5 linked regions of the Cricetulus griseus genome follow. The protein of the gene in region 2 interacts with the protein of the main gene of each other region in a pairwise test. Links are inferred from orthologs where the notes say so. Each region holds a gene or a part of one and is shown on either strand. Other genes may lie near its edges. The genes, in order: Rad23a, Sqstm1, Snca, Trim63 and Cdc37.

Region 1 (4,174 bases), on a different chromosome or scaffold from region 2:
TTCACCATATATCCAGGTCTGGCCTGGGATTCCCTTCTTGCCTTCCCACTGCATCAACATACCTGTCCCTCCCTCCCTTTTTAAAAAAAGTTTTGACAAGAGTTTCACTGTGTAACACTGGCTGGCTTAGAACCCCACAAGTGGTCTGCTTCCTCAGTGCTGGGGTTAAAGGCATGTCCTGCCACCACACCTGCTGCCCTACAGGGTGGAAGTAGAGTCCTGTCCAGAGCCAGGGCTGTCAGAAGTTACTGCTGACCATATGTCTTTCCATTCTTCCCCAGGTCAAGTCTGGCACAATCTTTGACAACTTTCTCATCACCAATGATGAAGCCTATGCAGAGGAGTTTGGCAATGAGACATGGGGTGTCACCAAGGTGAGCTGGGTTCCTGCTTCACTGGGGGTCAACTGGGAGAACAGGCAGGCAGGCAAAAGCCAGGTACTAAAAGGTGTCTGTGCCACAGGCTTCAGAAAAGCAGATGAAGGACAAGCAGGATGAGGAGCAGAGGCTGAAGGAAGAAGAAGAAGACAAGAAGCGTAAAGAGGAGGAAGAGGCTGAGGACAAAGAGGATGAGGATGACAGAGATGAAGATGAAGAAGATGAGGATGAGAAGGAGGAAGATGAGGAGGATACTACCCCTGGCCAGACCAAGGATGAGCTGTAGAGGCCATACCACCTGCCTCCAGGGCTGGACTGAGGCCTGAACACCCCACTGCAGAGCTGGCTGCTCCCAATAATGTCTCTATGAGACTCAGGAACTTTTCAGTTTTTTCCAGGCAGGTTCAGATCTGGGGTGAATTCTGATTTTGTTTCCCTGCCTCCCCCCAACCTCCCCCCTCCCATTTTTTTCTTTTTTTACTGGTGTTTGTCTTAATTCTCCTTTAGCCCTCAACCTCCTGGCTTCTCATTTTGAATCAACATCTTTCCCTATGTCCCTTTTCTCTATCCAACCCCTGGTCACAACCCTCCCAACTTCAGGAACGGGTGTGGAGGAAAAGTCCTAGGCTTGAGATTTCATCTGCTCTCCTTCTTGGATCTCAGAGGAGTGCAGGAGAAGGGGGTGGTGTATCCCTCCCCCAGCACTGAGGAAGAATGGGGGTCTTCTCATCCCCGTTCTCCCTTGCCCCCAGGACTGGGCCACTTGTGGGGCAGCCAGTTCTAGCACAGCTCACACTGAGAGTGTAAGAACTACAAACAAAATTTCTATTAAATTAAGTTTTGTGTCTTCCCTATCGTGTCTCCTTCTCTGGGAGGATTACGTCAGGGAATCAAAGGTGGCCTTTTGAGGTGCTGGTGGCTCATGTTTGAGCTATTGGAGTTGGCGGAGTCCAACAAAGTGACATGGCTGCATATGATATGTATCCTGTAATCTTAAGTAGGAACGCAGCTGTCAGGTTTTGATGCCAGGTCTCCCTGTAGTAATTCCCTTGTCCTGGCAACAGACATGTGATTGACAGCCTGGTGCTGACTACTGGGGCGGATATTTGAACCTTAATCTTAACCATCTATTGTTGGTTTCCTTTCTGAAACTACTACATAAGATAGTTGGGCAAATTCAAACCTCACATTAGTGGAGTAAATGCTGGTAGCTCATTTTATAGTCAAAGAACTAAAGTCAAAGATAGTGAGTGGCTTAACCCAGCGGCCAATATTTCTAGGACTAAGCTGATAGAAAAGGGATTGGTTTAAAGATTGGGTTGTGTTCCGTTGGAGATGGCTTACCTGGCATGCCCTACCACAGGAAAAAAAAGAAAATGGGATTCGGGTGACTGATGGGGTCTCAAGGTTTCCATTTTAAGCTCCACTGAGTAGGTTGGAAGGTGGGCAGGAGGCCTGTGTTATTAGAAGGAAACTGATTCGCCCTTGGCAGAACCTTGCTCAGGTGACCAGAGGGAGGCAGGCCTTTGGCAAGTGCTTTGTCACTGGTGTGGCTAGAAATATGGCAAAGCAAGCTCCAAAGTAGTGAGTATTAAGTGTTGATGCCTATGTTGTATTTACTGAGAACTTTAGCTTCTTAAGTCACCCTCAAGATGCCCCAGCTTCCCAAGTCTGACATTTCATTACCTTTTAGTATGTGGTGGTAACCTAAGGCTTGTAATACCCCTTACCTCCCAGAAAAATAGGTGCAAGCAAGGAAAGTCTATGGGAGGAAGAATGAAGTATTTAATACAAAGGAGCCTTGCACATATTAATACTTTTGAGGTGTTTAATAGTTATTGCAGGACCATGAAGAGGTAGGGGACCCATGAACTAGAAGTCAAAGCTTATTCCAAAAGTGATGATAGTCTTGAAAATGGAGCCACATAAGTTACCATTTTTACCTTTGAGATTTATAGTAACTTCACTTTCTTCTAGGCTTGAGTAATTAACAGTGCTCTGTGGGATTTTTTAAATTTTTGCCATGTCCGAAATAGGTCAATAATCCTATAACAAATACCTTAAAAACTTGGAGGTGGAAGGGGGGTAGCTCAGAAGCCATTTTACAGGCATATGACATCACTATTAGGCATGACATCACCCAGACCCTATGATGTCTGTTCCCACAGCAAAAGCTCAAAGCTGAGTTTGCGCATGTCTAAGGTAAGGAAGCGTTGCCGCGCATGCTCTAGAGGTCGAGGGGGTCACAGGCGGGTCATATACACTGACGATTTGCGCGCGCTTCCCTCTTGTCCCGGAAGTGCTTTCCCTACGGCACAGCTGGGCGCTAAGATGGCGGCGGCGTGAGTTGCATGTTGTACGAGGATCCTGGGGCTGCCGCATTGCTCCGGCCCCGCCATGGCCATCACCGTCACGCTTAAAACGTTGCAGCAGCAGACCTTCAAGATACGCATGGAGCCTGAGGAGACGGTGCGGGCCGGAGCCCGGGGGCGGGAGCGACCGGCTGTCGGTCGGGGTGGGTGGGGGCAGGGAGGCCCGGATCCAACGGGAGGGGCGGGGAGGACTTGCGGCCGGGCCCTGCTGCCCTTTCCCAGCGACCCGACCTCCTCGCACCCCCCTTCCCATCGCCCCTGCCCTGCCCCGGGGCTCAGGCGCCCTTCCCGGGTTGGCCCCAGGGCGAGTCCCCAGTCCCGCTCCTGTGCCAGCTGCCGACTCCGCATTCCCAGCCTGCAAGCCGCTCGGGTGACCACGTTTGGCGTCAGTGGCCAAGAGGTGCCAACTGGTGACAACAATGTTGATAATAATAAATGGTCTTAATCTTAATAGTTTTGGTGGTCCGTGTTTGTTGGCCGTTTATTCTTTGCCAGTGTCGTCTTGCTGAATCTGCAAAATAGTGTTGTCCTTTGGGGACTCCTAACTTTCCCCGTTTGACAACCTCAGAGTTAAGGAAGTTTGCCATGGTCACAGCAAGTAATGGAAGAGACGGGATTAATTTTTTTTTTGTTGTTTTGTTTTATGTAACAGACAGCAGCCTAAACTTGCTGCATGAACTTTGTTTGCTTTTGCTTTTTGAGAGTGAGGTCTTGTTTTGTTGTCCAGTGCTGCTTTGAATTTCTGGGCCCAAGTGATAGGTATTGCCTTAGCCTCCCAAGTAGGTGATACTATTGTTTGAGCCACCTCCCCTGAATCTTCTCAAATATACTATGAAGCCACTGCTATACCCTTAGTGAAGTCTAGGCATAGTGGTCATGTCTATAATCCCTGAACACTGAGGCCAAGATGGGGATTGTTTTAAGTTCCAGACCAGCCTGAGCTATGTAGTTAGGCCAGCCTGGAGTGCAGAATAAGACCATTTCAAAAAAGGAGGGGGTAAAGGATTTCCTCAATAATTACAGAACAGTTAACTTTTTGTGGCCAGCAGTGGGTATACCCTTTCATTTCCTTTTTACTGTTTCCCTTCTCAACAACATGACATCTGAAATACAAGTTTGCTTTTTTTCTCACATCAAGGTCTTCTCCATGAGAACAGTGACTGAATTCTGTTTTGTTCTGTTCCACAGGCTGTTGTAAAACAGGGTTTGGGATGGAGCTCTTGTAGAACAATTAGGCCACCACAATCACACGCACATACACACACAACGAGCAGCATAAGTGTCTGGCCTGTAATAGATTGCTGTCGACTGGCCACATTGAGTAGGAGTCTCTTATGATTGAGAGCAAAGCTTTTCCCCTAAGGTAAAAGGGTCAGGAAAGGTGTCTTTATTTTATCTGAGACAGTTTCACTATATAGTCCTGGC
Region 2 (3,514 bases):
TTTTCTCTGAGGAACTAAGCAGGGGATGACTCACATGCTAACTGCCTCTAATGGATTGTGTTAGCAGAGGCCCAGAGGGAAAGGAGTTGGCACAGTCTCTCAGAAGGCAGAGGTTTGGGGTGAGCCAGAGCCAAGGCCTTTTATTGGTAAGTTCTGTGAGAACCAGCCAAGGAAGGCTGCTACTGTGGACCAGTACTGTGTTTGGCTCAGAGGCTGTGGTCACTGACACCTACAATACAAAGTAGCAGGTCCTTCCTTGTTACTGGGTCTTTGACAAACACAGGCTTTGGGGACAGCAGGCCACAGACCATCAAACATTATTTGTGAGCCCTTCAGTCTTGGGGTTTCATTATTCCATTGAGAAACCCCCAATTCAACATCTTTTTGATCCTGTCCTGCACCTGCTTAGAAAAAATGGGGTGTGGATGTTGGGGATGGGGCTCAAGGGACTTTTCGGTTTGCTTGAACCATCTATGTGTATGGTTCTGGAGATTGAACCCAGAGCTGTGTTTGTGGTTGGCATGCACTCTACCCACATGGTAGGGTAGAACGGACTCCTGAAGGTTTTCCTCTGACCTCCACACACATATAAATGTAAAAAATAAAAAAAAAAAGATGAAATGGAGGGCAGGGAGTAACCCACAGAGAGAGGCGGCTGCACAGGGAACCCTTGTAAGAAGCAAGACATGATGGCACATGCCTTTAGTACCAGCACCAGGAAAATGGTTAGGCAGAGCTCTGAGTTCAAGGACAGCCTGTTTTACATAGGAAATTCCAGGCTATCCAGAGCTACATAGTGAGAAACCTGTGTCAAAAAACAAAACAATCCCCACTGGACTGGTACCATTAAGGGTGAGAGGGAGCGACAGGCCAAGGCACAAGAAAGCAGCTAGAAGACCTTTCATAAGAGAGTTAGAGAGCTCCAGGCTCCACCCAGCACTTTCATGTTCAGTACTTGAAGTGCCTCTCTCTGAGAAGCTTCTGCCACATAAGCTAAGGCACCAGCCTAGAAGTGGGCATCAGGAGTGAGCAGGGGAACAAGGGGCCTAGCATTTCAGCCCCACTGGCCTGACAACAGCTGAAGAGTCCTGCTGAGGGGAGGCCAGCCAAACACCCTGGCAAAGAACACCAGCTCCTGGGACCTGGGTTTCACTGATGCCTGTCTCTGGACATCGGCATATGTGAAGCTGGCAACTGCCCTGGTCCTGCAGGCGGAGCTTCTTGCCAGTGCCTCTGGGATGGCTGGCCATTGAGGAAAGCCTCCGAACCTGGGAAAGTGTGCTAGGATGAGGACAGAAAAGTACTGGATTTATGAGAAAGCAGGTGCCATAAAAAATGTAGCAAAGGAAACAACAAGAAAGTGCTAACACTGAGTGAGGGGGCTGGAGGTGACTTAGTAGTTAACAGCACTGGTACTTCTGCAGAGGTCAGGTTCAACTCCCAACACCCACATGGTGGCTCACAACTGTCTGTAACTCCATTTCCAGGGGATCTGTTGTTCTGTTCTGACCTTCATGGGCACCAAGCACACAGGTGCACAGATACATATATACAGGGAAAACACCCACATAAAAATTAATGTTACTATTTTTTTAAAAAAAGCTGAGTGATAGAAGGAAGGCTTAGGTTCAGAGACTATCTCAAATGAATACAGTCAGCCCTCTGGGGATTCCATCCGTGAGAATTTAGCTGACCTTTGCTAGAAAATACTAGGGGGAAATCCCATGTGCATTGACAACTTAGAGGAGGGCCTTGGCCACTGAAGGTGCTCTCCAAAAGCCAGACCTGATGGGCGACTGAGAGCCCTGAACCACAGAAAATGAAAGACTCTGGAGAAGAAACAAGAAGTTAGCAAACAAAAGGAGAGAGAGACCCTTGACAATAGAGAGGACATACAGCCCTGTGCACAGCAACATTTACATAGCACGTTAGTAGTGTTTTTTGTTTTGTTTTTTTTTTCAGTCAAAGGTAGCTCTTAAAAGAACAGGGAAAGGGGAGGTAAATACTGACACAGTAGGAAATAAACAGATGTGGGGGCTGAAAGTGGGGGATTCTGGAGAGTGGGAAGGAACTGTTAAAGCTGTGTGTGTGTTGTCCTTGGTACATTTAGTTTGTGAGCAGCACAGGTGAAGCTGCCTGTCCTTATTCCCCCACCAGACATGAGCAGGCTGGTAGACTGGCCACACACGGAACTGAAACTTGGAGTTCAGGTGTGTAATTGTCGCATCATGAGATCCTGTGTGTTGTGGCATCCAGCAATCATGGTTAGGTGTTCTGCCCATGTATAGTACTAGCCCTCCTGCAGCCTGCTTTCCTACTGGGTTGGGAGAAAGTTCCCTCTGGGGACTTTGTGGGTTAGGGGAAGGGAAAGGACCAATGTGATAGGCTTGTTAGCAAGTTTGGGTTGGAAGGAGGAGCTCAGCTGGCCCATGGGGGTTGTCACATGGTTACATGGTTATGTGGCCCTGAGGTTGAGTCTAGCCTCTGCATCCTTATGCTGACTGCCAGTGTCCCAATCCATATGTGCTGTGAGGGACTAAGTCTGAAGCACTTCCTAAGTCCACAGTGCCCAACTCACCGAGTCACTGATGTCACAGGCAGGGGAGGCCTCTGGACTTGACAGCTTGATTCCTCCTCCTGCTCTAGGCATTGAGGTTGACATTGATGTGGAACATGGAGGGAAGAGAAGCCGCCTGACACCCACCTCCCCAGAAAGTTCCAGCATGGACACAGAAGACAAGTGCAGCACTCAGCCAAGTAGCTGCTCATCAGAGGTTAACAAGCCTGACGAGGCAGGCGAAGGCACTTCACAGTCCCTGACAGAGCAAATGAAAAAGATCGCCTTGGAGTCAGTGGGACAGCCAGAGGTAGGTCTGCTTTCTCCCACTAGCTTTAACTGACCTGCTTGGCATCTTGGCTTCAGCCCAAGCCATTCTGCAGCCAGAGGGATCCTGTCCTTCCTGTTATCCCTGTGGTGTCTCCAGTCACTCTGAGCCTTCAAACAGAACTCTGTTGAGAAAGACTTTCTTGGATCTGGAGCGGTAACTCATTATGAGGCATTTACCTGATATACATGAGGTCCTCGGTTCAACCCCTATCGTTACGGGAAAAAAATCAGACAGACATGTCCTTTGCAGGCAGCTCTCTTTGCCATACTTTGCTGGGAACAGATCGTGGGGTCCCACTGGTCAGTCACTTAGACCCCTGTGCTCACAGCAGGTTGTATTCTAGGAACAGATGGAGTCTGATAACTGCTCAGGAGGAGATGATGACTGGACACATTTGTCTTCCAAAGAAGTGGACCCGTCCACAGGTGAACTCCAGTCTCTACAGATGCCGGAATCAGAAGGGCCAAGCTCTCTAGACCCCTCACAGGAAGGACCCACAGGGCTGAAGGAAGCTGCCTTGTACCCACATCTCCCACCAGGCATGTGGTCACCAGAAGTTTCATTTTCCTTTGCTTTCAGAGTATCCTAGCCCAAGTCTGGTTTTGGTAACACAAAATGGGGTAGCA
Region 3 (3,514 bases), on a different chromosome or scaffold from region 2:
GTGATGAACAGCAATGTGGAAGTATAATCTGAATAAAACCCTTTCTTCCCCAACTTGCTTTACGGTCATACTGTTTCATCACAGCAGTAGAAACCCTAACTAAGATAGTAGCTAAATTCTCTTTTGATCATTATTATAACATCTTTAACCACAAAATAGAAGTCATTTATTAAACAGACAGAGCACTAAAAGGTTTGTTTCCTTTTGTTTTTTAAGGCAGTGCCAATGAGTAGATAAACTGTAAACCTTAAAGACAGAATATATTCCTACAGATGTTTATAATTTTATCTTTTTAGCCATAGCTATTATTATACTACCATATTCTGTCATTTTATAATGTTCTTTATTATTTTTATAAAACAGTAAAATGGAAATCACGTATAAATTATACTTACTGTACAATTTTTGTGTTTTAAAAATAACAGATTAAAGTTTATATTTATATAAAGAAGTGTGCACATTAAGTAAAGTTTATGGTTGGCAGAAAACATGAGGATGTAAAAAGGCAAAGCCTATTTTGTCTTGCTTTGAGATGTTTTAACAAGAAAATGTTAATCTCAAGCAAATTTTTAAATCATATTCTTGGAAGAAAAAGTAACAAGCTGAAACAGAGTTCAGTATAATTCCAGTGCTGTTTAAAATCAATTTTTCTAATATAGCTCTGCTCTGGCCTTTAAAATTACTGTGAATATCCAGTGCTCTTCAAGTAGCACACTGAGGGGCAGGGATTCCATAGGCAGACTTAGCTCAAACCTGAAAGGCAGCTATAGAGTCACCTATGTGAATTCTGGTTGCAGTCTGAGTGACCTTCAGGCTTCCCCACACTGCTTGGTCTAAGGGGTCAGCTGTGACTTTACAAGCCAACTAAACTTCATTTCACAACTTGTTCCTTCCGAATTAATTTTCATTGTCCACATTATTGGATTATTTGTCTTTCTGGCTGATGACATGAAATCTGTATAGTGCAGTAACCATGTGAACAGTTGATGTGGTGTGATTCCTCAGCTCAGGCTACGAGGATACAGGCTTCTCAGGAGATCCTGAAGAAGAACATGCTTTTTTGCTCAAGAGAGAAAACACAGGAGGAGTGGGGACTCAACAACCTAATGCTGATATATGGGGCAAAATAAAAAAAAATTGTAGAGTAAATGAAAGGCAAACATGACATCCATTCGAATGAGAGTTGGGAGACATTTGCCTTTGTGGATATAGGATTTAGAGGTTCAGGTGCAGACAGGTTCTTTTACTTTTTCACTTAGTATTATTTAAAAAGTGGGCTCTCATGTCTTTCACTCCTTGCATGGAACTATGGAGTTAATGGAAATACATTTGATTTGCATTAACTGAAATTTTGTCTTAACATTTTTGTTTGGCTGGAGGGATAGCTCAGTGTGAAGAACACTTGCTCCTCTTCCATAGGATCAGAATTATGTTCTCAGCACCCATGCTGGGAGACCTTCATTGTCCCGTAATTCCAGCCCCAGGGGATCTGACAACACTATCTGGCATCCTTGTGCACCTGCACACATGTGCACATAACTGCCCCAAGAGACACAAGTACACATAATTAAAAATAATCTTTTAAAATAACTATCTTTTTCTTTACCATGTCTTTTTCTATCACCTATTTCCAAATCATTCTAGGAGCATGTTTGAACACATAGGGCCTCCTTATCAGAGGTGCTTAAGGAACACTTGCTTTAGATTTCAATTATTTTTGATTTGGGGATAAATGCACACTTATAATGAGTTGTCTTGGTAATAGGACGCAAGTCTAAACATGAAATTCACTTATACTATATATACCTGTACATATTATCTGAGGGCAATTTCATATTCTATTTTAGAATAATTCTGAACATGCAACAAAGTTTATGGTTGAAATTTTCTGCTGGTGGTACGAATTGGTGGTACGTGAAAGTGAAAGATTTAGGAACATTTTGAATTTTGTACATAGAAAACAGTGAATCTAGATGTGGGAGAGGCATGTACTTTGAGCAGATAATGGAAGTGAACTTTGTAAATGAGATCAAATAGTTGGCATCGAAACTGAAATAGTGCTCAAAGAGTCTGACAACTTAATACTGTACCTAGTGCCTTGTTTTCTGTCTATGTGCCTCAAGGCAAACCAAATCTTGTTTGCATTGTGTTATAACTAAACTCTCAAGATTTTCTAGTCTATACATAATTGTAACACAGACCCAGTGTTTGGCTGCACCCTGTTGGTTCTCCCTTGGTGTCTTGTTTCTTCAGACTCTTGCTATCTATGGCATGGGTGTATGTAGAAGTTGACAGCTATTGGAAGCAGAATTAAGGTCTGCCACACCACTATCTTTTAATGTTGTTGCTCTTGATTTTCTTAAGTGGCTGAGAAGACCAAAGAGCAAGTGACAAATGTTGGAGGGGCAGTGGTGACTGGTGTGACAGCAGTTGCCCAGAAGACAGTGGAGGGAGCAGGGAACATTGCTGCTGCCACTGGTTTCGTCAAGAAGGACCAGCTGGGCAAGGTAAGGCTGCTGATTTGTACAATGATAAACCAAGTACACCAAGATTCCTTACAGGTATCAGAAAGCAGCCATTGGATGCGCACTGGGGGGAAGGATTGCACTTTTATAGGGCTCTTATTTTGACATGCTATGGAAAATGTCATGCACATTGTACAATATCCTTGATTGTTTGAATTTCTGAAAGAAAGCTACAGAAGTGAACAGTACAGTAAGTGCTGAAGAATTGGTGACATTTCAGAAAGAATGGCTGCTTTCATATGGATGATGGGTCTGGAATTCCTCTTTGTGGAAATAGCAATTTGTTTCTCTGTCTAATTCCTAAATTTCCAGAAAGAAGATCTTTTATTTGATTTCTTTGTAATGATCCAATCTCTTATTATATGACATATTTGCATATCAAATATCAATTCCTTACCAAATATATGCTTTTGAAAACTGAGAGACTTAAAGTACATACCAAACACAGATCATGGTTTCATATGGTGACTCTTACATTTCTAGAATTTTAAATTGGCTTCTGGATAAATAAAGGGCTCTAGTGACATATTCTAGGTATAAAAATGGAGTCTCTTACCAGAAAAATACATGATCATGTACTAAAGGACAAATATAAAAAGAAGGCCATCAACAGAACATCAGCTTAAAACTATTTCTTGATTTTACAATGAGGAATGCAGAATTCACAGCGGGGAAGTGAGCATCATTTTCCTGTAGCCTGTTGGAGTTACCTGGATGACCCTACACACATCTATCTGAACTGTCACTTCCCTAGCCATATCCAACACACAGCTTCCTCTGATGTGTAGATTGAATTATGCAATACTAAAGTTAGTGGAAGAATTTGTTGCTTTGGATATAGAAAGGCTGGGAATCATGTCTCATTTATTTCCCACTTAGCTTGCATTTAAAATTTGCAATATAAATCACAAATGGGTCATTAAAAACACTTTATGTCAACTTGGGCTTGTTTTGTACCTTTAAAAAATACCAATCCTTATTTTAATATT
Region 4 (3,514 bases), on a different chromosome or scaffold from region 2:
ATTCTGACATGGTTGGGACAGCTCTGAGAGACACTGAGGCTTGAAGAGTAAGATCACACAAATCAAGCAAGTGTTTGACCCCGATACCTGACCGCCAGGGAGGGAGGGAGTTTCAACAGCAGGTCTGCTCCATCTTGTTTTACACCCTGGGGCAGAGCAGCAGGTGGCACCGGGGAAACCCCCACCATCACAGCCACCTCAGTATGAGGTCCCTGAGCTCAAAGATGAAAACAAAGCCAAAACCAAAAACCAGCCTGGATAGGGGCTCCTGGAGGGGGCAGTGAAGTCTGGGGTGCTACAGCCATGCAGGGCTGCTGGGAGGTGAGACATTGATACTGATGGGGACAGTCAGTTTGAGGTTTAGGAGATGCTTACATGTTAGGGGCTGGCATCAGAGGTAGTGTAGACATGGCTGCTTACCCTGAATGGAGCCAAGTTCTGTCTCACTTGGGAGGTAAAACCTTGACTAAAACCCGAGTAGATGCTGGGAAAGACTGATGCTAGAGAGGAGCATGCCAGGCACCCTAAGCAGAAAAAGCAATAAAGGGAGAAAGGTCCTAGGACAGCAGGAAGAAACACTTAGGCCAGCAAGATGGCTCAGTGGGTAAAGGTGCTTGCCGCCAAGCCGTCAACCCGAGTTCTACCCTCAGGACCCATATGGTAGAAGGAGAGAACAAACTCCTTCAAGCTGTCCTCGGACCTCCATCGTGTGACGTGGTGCAAACATTTACCCCAGCATACACGCATAGTCAATAAAGGCATTTTTAAAAATAAAAAAGAAGACGGGCAGTGGTGGCTCACTCCTTTAGTCCCAGCACTCGGGAGGCAGAAGCAGGAGGATCTCTGTGAGTTTGAGAACAGTCTGGTCTACAAGAGCTAGTTCCAGGATAGGCTCCAAAGCTACAAAGAAACCCTGTCTTGAAATATATATATATATATATATATATATATATATATTAGATATATATGGGCCCCATGAGGTCAAGCTTTGCACGGGGCTGCTACACAGCCCTGCCCCCAACCATGTGCTGTTTGTCTGGCTTAGGGTGTACATACTGTCCCCTTCTCCTAACCCTCGGACACCCTCAGGATGTGTTTACTCGTGTATTCTTCCTCCTTGCATTTCATTTCCACGGTCTCCACGCCAGGTACTGTACGTTATAGACGCAGGGGAGAAAAACAAGCAGGCTTCCCAGCCTAGTTGAAGGCTATGGTCTGATAGATTAAATATAGACATAAGGGTTGCCATCAAAATAAGTTGCCCAGGCCCAGCAACCAAGAGCTATGGGGCTATAATTAGAGCAAAGGCGTTCTAACCTCCTCTGCCTCTGTGCTGGGCGACCTTGGGCAAGTCTGTTCATTTTCTGGGACTCTGTTGCCTCTTCCTTAAGGTCAGCATCTTCTGGTCTGACTCTAGAATTCCGGGGCCCTCCCCGGGCTCCCTGTACCAACTCAGGCCAGCCCTAATGCTGGAGTCTGAGTTTAGGTGTCATTAGCCAGGTTTGGTGTCATTAGCCTCCCTGATCTTGGGCTCCCAGAAGATAAAACAAAGACTGTTTGGAGCAGGTACACACTGGGAACTGGCATGTGGATGTGGTGGCTTCCTGTTCTTGGATTTAGCAAGGGACAGTTAGAGGGGACATCCCTAACTTGTGGTTCTTCTCCCCCTCAGTCGGCCCCTGCAGAAAGGCAGCCACCCGATGTGCAAGGAGCACGAGGATGAGAAAATCAACATCTACTGCCTCACGTGTGAGGTGCCTACTTGCTCCCTGTGCAAGGTGTTCGGGGCCCACCAGGCCTGTGAGGTAGCCCCGCTGCAAAACATCTTCCAGGGACAGAAGGTATTGACTACAAACACTGTGCCCAGATGGATTTGACCCTTGTGGATGTGCTGAGCCGGCCTTTCAGGAATAGTCCCTCTGGAGGGACTTCCCAGGCCACAGGGACAGCAGCCGTTGCCTCCCTGGGGGAGGTGGCTGAGCTCATGGGTTATACTTAGAGCTACTTGAGAACACCTGGGTGTGGCCATAGGGAAGAGGCCAGACCCCAGGGACAGGCCACCAGGCCCTTCCAGGCCATGGCTTCCCCTCCTGTGTACTCTGGGGTCCCATACCTCTCCACTTGGGCCTCTCATGTAGCACAAGGCAAAGTCGAGGTTCTTCCCTGGGCCCCTGGCAACCCCAGCATGGTGTCTGTAGTAAGCTGTAGCCCTTCCTGAACTCTGTTCTCCACATGCCACTTGGCTCTTGGACTTTTGTCTTCTAGAACTTTCCAATCCTATTCCTTTTCTCAGAAATTAGCAGCCAGGGGGTATGACAGACAGCACAGGCCTTTAAGCATAGCACTCATGAGGCAGAGGCAGGTGGATCTCTATGAATTTGAGGCCAACCTGGTCTACATAGTAAGTTCTGGGCCAGCATAGTAAGACCCCAGCTCAGAAAAGAAGAAGAAGAAGAAGAAGAAGAAGAAGAAGAAGAAGAAGAAGAAGAAGAAGAAGAAGAAGAAGAAAGTTTTCTTCTGTTCCTTTGTCAGTATCTTGCTGTGTGTTCTGGGGTGCTCAGTTTCTCTCTCTGGGTCTCATCCGTCCATAAAGGATATAGCATCTGTATTAGTCTCTACTTTAGACCTTAACTGCACCCCAGAAGGAGGGATAGCAACCCTATTGGTGACTCTGTCAGAGAAGCAGCCGGCTCTGAATCTATTTCTGTCTCTCCTCTCTCACCCCTCCCATTCAGACTGAACTGAGTAACTGCATCTCCATGCTGGTGGCAGGGAATGACCGAGTGCAGACTATCATTTCTCAGCTGGAGGACTCCTGCCGAGTGACAAAGGTGAGGGTGCTGAGTGGCCCTGTCAGCGCTGAGGCAGAGTGGACACCTCAAGTGCAGCTGGTCTCTGGGAAAGGCCTAAGTTGTGAGTTTAGGTTGGGGTTTAGGGCCTTGGGTGTCCAATATAGATGGCAGAAAAAGGGCACAGCCATTCCCCCACTCACTTGGCAAATAGTTCATGAACATAGCAGTTATGTCAGACCCTGCCCAAGGTCAAGCCAGACCCAATTGGTCCCTGACTGCAGGGACCCACCAACTCCCTGAATGTCTCTAGCATCAATCATTTTGCTGCAGAGCAAGGTTCCTGGACCTTTAAAAGTTCACTTGACCCTGGAGCCTGTGGAAACTCAGGTTCTGATTCGGTAGATCAGGAATGAAATGGGATTCCACACTTCTTCATTTATTATTATTTTTTAATGTATATGGGTGGTTTTGTTGTTGTTGTTGGTTTTGGTTTTTCAAGACAGTGTTTCTCTGTAGCTTTGGAGCCTGTCCTGGAACTTGCCCTGTAGGCCAGCCTGGGACTCAGAGATCTACCTGCCTCTGCCTCCTCAGCGCTGAGATTAAAGGCGTGCACCACCACAGCCCAGCCAGGTGTTTTGCCATGTGTGTGAGTGCCTGAGGAGGCCAGAAGAGGGAGTTGGATCCCCCAGAACTGGAGTTACATGTGGTTTTGAGCCACCATG
Region 5 (4,231 bases), on a different chromosome or scaffold from region 2:
CAGGAAGGCAGAGGCAGGCAGATCTCTGTGAGTTCAAGACCAGCCTGGTCTACAAGAGCTAGTTCCAGGACAGCCTCCAAAGCCACAGAGAAACCCTGTCTCAAAAAACCAAAAAATAAAATAAAACATCTGGAGCTGGAGTTACAGACAGTTATGGACTGCTATGTGGGTGTTGGAAATTGAACCTGTGTCATCTGGAACAGCAGCCAATGCTCTTAACTGCTAAGCCATCTCTTCAGCCCCTGAAATGTAATTTAAAAAAATAAATTTTAAGGGCAGACCCAGTGTAGTGGAGCATGATTTCAATACCAGCATTGGGAGGCAGAAGCAAGGAGATCTGTGAGTTCAAGGCCAGCTCAGTCTACATAGTGAGTTCGAGGACAGCCAGGGCTACATAGTGAGACCCTGTCTTGAAAAAAAAAATTTTTTTTAAGAGTAAAAATCGGGGCTGGAGAGATGGCTCAGAGGTTAAGAACACTAACTACTCTTCCAGAGGTCCTGAGTTCAATTCCCAGCAACCACATGGTGGCTCACAACCATCTGTAATGAGATCTGGTGCTCTCTTCTGCTGTGCAGGCATACAAGCAGGCAGAATGTTGTAAACACAATAAGTAAGTAAATAAATCTTAAGAAAAGTAAAAATCTGTCGGGCACTGGTGGTGCTCGCCTTTAATCCCAGTACTGGTGGGGGCAGAGGCAGGTGGATCTCAACTCATTCCAGGCCAGCCTGGACTACAGAGCTAGTTACAGAACAGCCAGAGCTGTTGCAGCTGTTGAAACCCTGTCTCAACTCCCACCCCACCCCTAAAAAAAACCGCAAAATTTCACTCTTTTCTGTTTGTTTTGTTTTTCAATACAGGGTTTCTCTGTGTAACAGTCCTGGCACTCGATTTATAGACCTGCCTCTGCCTCCTGAGTGTTGGGATATAAGGCGTTTCTTTTTGGTTTTTCGAGACAGAGTTTCTCTGTGGCTTTGGAGCCTGTCCTGGCACTCGCTCTTGTAGACCAGGCTGGCCTCAAACTCACAGAGATCCGCCTGCTTCTGTCTCCCGAGTGCTGGGATTAAAGGCGTGCGCCACCAACGCCCGGCTCAATTTTGATTTTTTTGAGACAGAATCTCACTGCGGAGCCCTGGCTGGCCTGGAACTGTGTCGATCAGGCCTGCCTAGAACTCGCTGAGAGTGGCCTGACTTTGCTTTCCAAGTGCTGGGACTACCGTGGGCCGACAACCCCTAGGCAACTACCTTTTTTGTCCCCAGGGGATGCTCGGTTGGGTTTCGGCGGGAACTCCCAGAAGGCTGAACAACGTGAGCCTGGCCCTTTAAGAATCACCTCCGGTCGTCAGTGCCGCCGAGTCCCGTTGCTAAGGACGTGACGTCACGCGCGGATGCTGGGGCGGGGCCGTCGTGCGCGGCGCCGTGAGCGGAAGCGGAAGGGGCGGGGCTCCGCGAGCGGACTCTCTATCCCTTGTGGGTCCCTGTTCAGCGCCCGGCCGTGTGGAGCGCCGGGAGCCAATCCGGGCCTCCTAGGCGAAGATGGTGGACTACAGCGTTTGGGATCACATCGAGGTGTCGGACGATGAGGACGAGACGCACCCCAACATCGACACGGCCAGCCTCTTCCGCTGGCGGCACCAGGTGGGGCTGTGCGCGCGCATCCCCTTCCCCCCACTCCCGGGACCCCCCGCTCTAGAGTTCTGACCTCTTACCCTGGCCGCCCTGGTTCGGGCGGGTCGGGGGAAACTCAGTTATTGACATCGGGAGCCTCCTATTCCACAATCTGAACTTTCTGTCTCTCTTATTTTTTAAAAAAAATCGAACCAGGATCTCACTATAGCCTTGCCTGGCCTGGAACTTGCTATGTAGACCAGGCTGGCCACTAACTCACAGAGATCCGCCTGCCTCTGCCTTCCCAGTGCTGGGATTAAAGGTGTATACCGTCATGTGGCCTGGACTGTTAAATTCCATCCCAGGACTTCAGGATCACTGGGCTTCCTAACTCTCCACGGTCATCTCTGGGCTTTCCCCGCTGCTATCTCTTTTATTTTATTTGTACATTTGTTTGTTAGTTTACTTGTAGTGGTGTGTCTTGTGTGCTCGTGGCACAGCTTGTATCTGTAGATTAAAGGACAGTTAACAGAAGTCAGGCCTCTCCTTTCACCACGTTGGAACTGGGCATGGAACTTAGGTCACCCCAATTTGCCACAAGCACCTCCTATACACACTGAATCTTCTTATCAACTCCTAATACTTTCATCAGAGTCTAGACTCTCCAAACGCCGGCCCTTGTGAGTAGGGGTCCCCATCATCCTGTATGGAACCTTTTTTTCTCCTCAGAATTCTTTCTCGGAGTCCAGAACTCAGATTCTGTTAGGCTCTCCCTTGTTCTAGCCATGTGCCCACTGCTGATTGAACACCTCCCTTCTGCCTCTTCTCAGCCCCTGGAGTCTGGGTCCACGATACTTTTGATTTGATTGGGGCATCTACTTCCCAGGATCTTAAGCACAAATTTACATTAAGGCCCAGAGATACCCTGCCCCCAACTCCCAAACTGAATGAGAACTGTGTCTTACACTTAATTTCCCGATCTTAGCTTTCCGCTGGGATTCCACAACCCAGGGTCCCTTTCCCTGGAGTACAGACCAGAATCCCACTGGGGACTTCAGTCCCACCTAGGACTTCTCTCCATGTGGCCTCCAGCTCCACTGCTGCCCTGTGGCTTCCCTTACTCTTGCCTCCTGTAGACGCTTTTCCCCTTATTCCAGGAAACCCTACCCACTTAACTTCCGTCCAGAACCTCTGCCTGCTCCTTTATAGTAAGTAGACCCCCATCCTGTCCCTGGCTCCTGTATGAACTTTGGCCATCATTGAATACTCACCAAAATAGGAGCCGGGCAGTGGTGGTACACGCCTTTAATCCCAGCACTAGGGAGGCACAGGCAGGCCTGTGAGTTCCAGGTCAGCCTTGTTTACAGAGAGAATTCCAGGACAGCCAGGACTACACAGAGAAACCCTGACTTGAAAAACAAACAAACAAAAAACAGAAAGAAAGAAACTCACCAAACCTGAGCTCAGAACCCCAAACCTATTCTATCCTTCCCACCCTTTCCCCTGCAGCCTCCTTGGCTTCTCTGCAGTGTTCAAATCATCCTACTTAACTGGGGGAATCTCCTGGATCTTATCCCAACATCACCTTACTTCCTGAGCATGATGCCACATACCTTTAAACTCAGGTCTTGGGAGGTAGAAGTAGGAGGATGAGAAATTCAGTCAATCCTTGCTACATGTTAAATTCTAGGCCAGCTTGAACTACATGAAACACTGTCTCAAAAACCAAATAGGCTGGTGCTCAGTTGTGTGTCATTGCCTTGCACTGTGTCTCCAGCAGTGCTTAAAAGCTAGCCATGGTGGGACAGGCCTGTAGTCCCAGCACTGTGGAGATGGGAACAGGAAAGTCAGAAGTTCAAAGCCTTCAGCCACATAGTAAGCTTGAGGCTGGCATGGACCACATGGGATCCTGTCAACACCCAAGCAAATAAAATAAAATCCTACACATTTTTTTACATCTGTCCAGAACAGAGTCCCCCAGATTCAGACCTTAGAATCCCGTGTGTTTGAGCCATGGTTTTCCACCCCTCTTCTGCCCGGCATTGACCACGGGACAGTAGTGTACTACCAAGATCTAAGGGTGGTCTGGAGATGTGGTTTAGTGATAGAGCTCTTGTGTGGCATGCAGGAGGTCCTGGGCTCCATCCATAGCACAACAGTAAAGAGACAAGGGTCTAACCTGCTCTCCCAAATCACAGCATCTATATCCACCTACCTGTGTGCTATACCCTGTGCTTAAATTGTATTTTATTCATTTGTGTATACACTCCTGTATGTGTAAATGTACATGTGTAGTCCACGGAGGATAACTTGGTGGAATCTGTTTTCTCCTGCCATGTGGGTTCTGGGGATCAAACTCAGGTTTTCAGGCTTGGTGGCAGACCTTTACCCACCGAGCCCTCTCATTGGACCCTGAGTTTGTTATACTCTCAAGCTTAGGGCAGGTACTTTCTGGTTAGGAATTTTGCACCCCATCTTCCTGAGGGCAGCTCCTGCTCATTTATCTGGAAGCTCCTAGAAGGTCCTCCCTGTCTCCCCCAAATTAGTGTCTGTCCTCCACCCAATTCACACACCCATTCCTTCCAGTTTCCTAGGATGACTGCCTGCCAGGCAAGCTGCCAGCA

The links.
Region 1: the proteins of Sqstm1 (region 2) and Rad23a interact in binary tests that used the Homo sapiens proteins (3 or more experiments, as listed by UniProt). The two-hybrid records come from large-scale screens. The link is inferred for Cricetulus griseus from reciprocal best matches to the Homo sapiens genes SQSTM1 and RAD23A.
Region 3: the proteins of Sqstm1 (region 2) and Snca interact in binary tests that used the Homo sapiens proteins (3 or more experiments, as listed by UniProt). The link is inferred for Cricetulus griseus from reciprocal best matches to the Homo sapiens genes SQSTM1 and SNCA.
Region 4: the proteins of Sqstm1 (region 2) and Trim63 interact in a two-hybrid assay, tested with the Homo sapiens proteins (2 studies listed by BioGRID and IntAct). The link is inferred for Cricetulus griseus from reciprocal best matches to the Homo sapiens genes SQSTM1 and TRIM63.
Region 5: the proteins of Sqstm1 (region 2) and Cdc37 interact in binary tests that used the Homo sapiens proteins (3 or more experiments, as listed by UniProt). The link is inferred for Cricetulus griseus from reciprocal best matches to the Homo sapiens genes SQSTM1 and CDC37.

Annotation. Positions count from the first base shown.
Region 1 is NC_048596.1:159,529,357-159,533,530, forward strand, and holds the start of Rad23a (UV excision repair protein RAD23 homolog A), read left to right. Parts: upstream 1-1,373; 5' UTR 1,374-2,774; coding exon 2,775-2,846; intron 2,847-4,174. UniProt on the Homo sapiens protein: Multiubiquitin chain receptor involved in modulation of proteasomal degradation. Binds to 'Lys-48'-linked polyubiquitin chains in a length-dependent manner and with a lower affinity to 'Lys-63'-linked polyubiquitin chains.
Region 2 is NC_048600.1:64,660,046-64,663,559, reverse strand, and holds part of Sqstm1 (sequestosome-1), read left to right. Parts: intron 1-2,646; coding exon 2,647-2,867; intron 2,868-3,231; coding exon 3,232-3,427; intron 3,428-3,514. UniProt on the Homo sapiens protein: Molecular adapter required for selective macroautophagy (aggrephagy) by acting as a bridge between polyubiquitinated proteins and autophagosomes.
Region 3 is NC_048601.1:81,930,561-81,934,074, forward strand, and holds part of Snca (alpha-synuclein), read left to right. Parts: intron 1-2,364; coding exon 2,365-2,507; intron 2,508-3,514. UniProt on the Homo sapiens protein: Neuronal protein that plays several roles in synaptic activity such as regulation of synaptic vesicle trafficking and subsequent neurotransmitter release.
Region 4 is NC_048595.1:18,970,591-18,974,104, reverse strand, and holds part of Trim63 (E3 ubiquitin-protein ligase TRIM63), read left to right. Parts: intron 1-1,672; coding exon 1,673-1,841; intron 1,842-2,735; coding exon 2,736-2,831; intron 2,832-3,514. UniProt on the Homo sapiens protein: E3 ubiquitin ligase. Mediates the ubiquitination and subsequent proteasomal degradation of CKM, GMEB1 and HIBADH.
Region 5 is NC_048597.1:134,007,010-134,011,240, reverse strand, and holds the start of Cdc37 (hsp90 co-chaperone Cdc37), read left to right. Parts: upstream 1-1,423; 5' UTR 1,424-1,535; coding exon 1,536-1,637; intron 1,638-4,231. UniProt on the Homo sapiens protein: Co-chaperone that binds to numerous kinases and promotes their interaction with the Hsp90 complex, resulting in stabilization and promotion of their activity. Inhibits HSP90AA1 ATPase activity.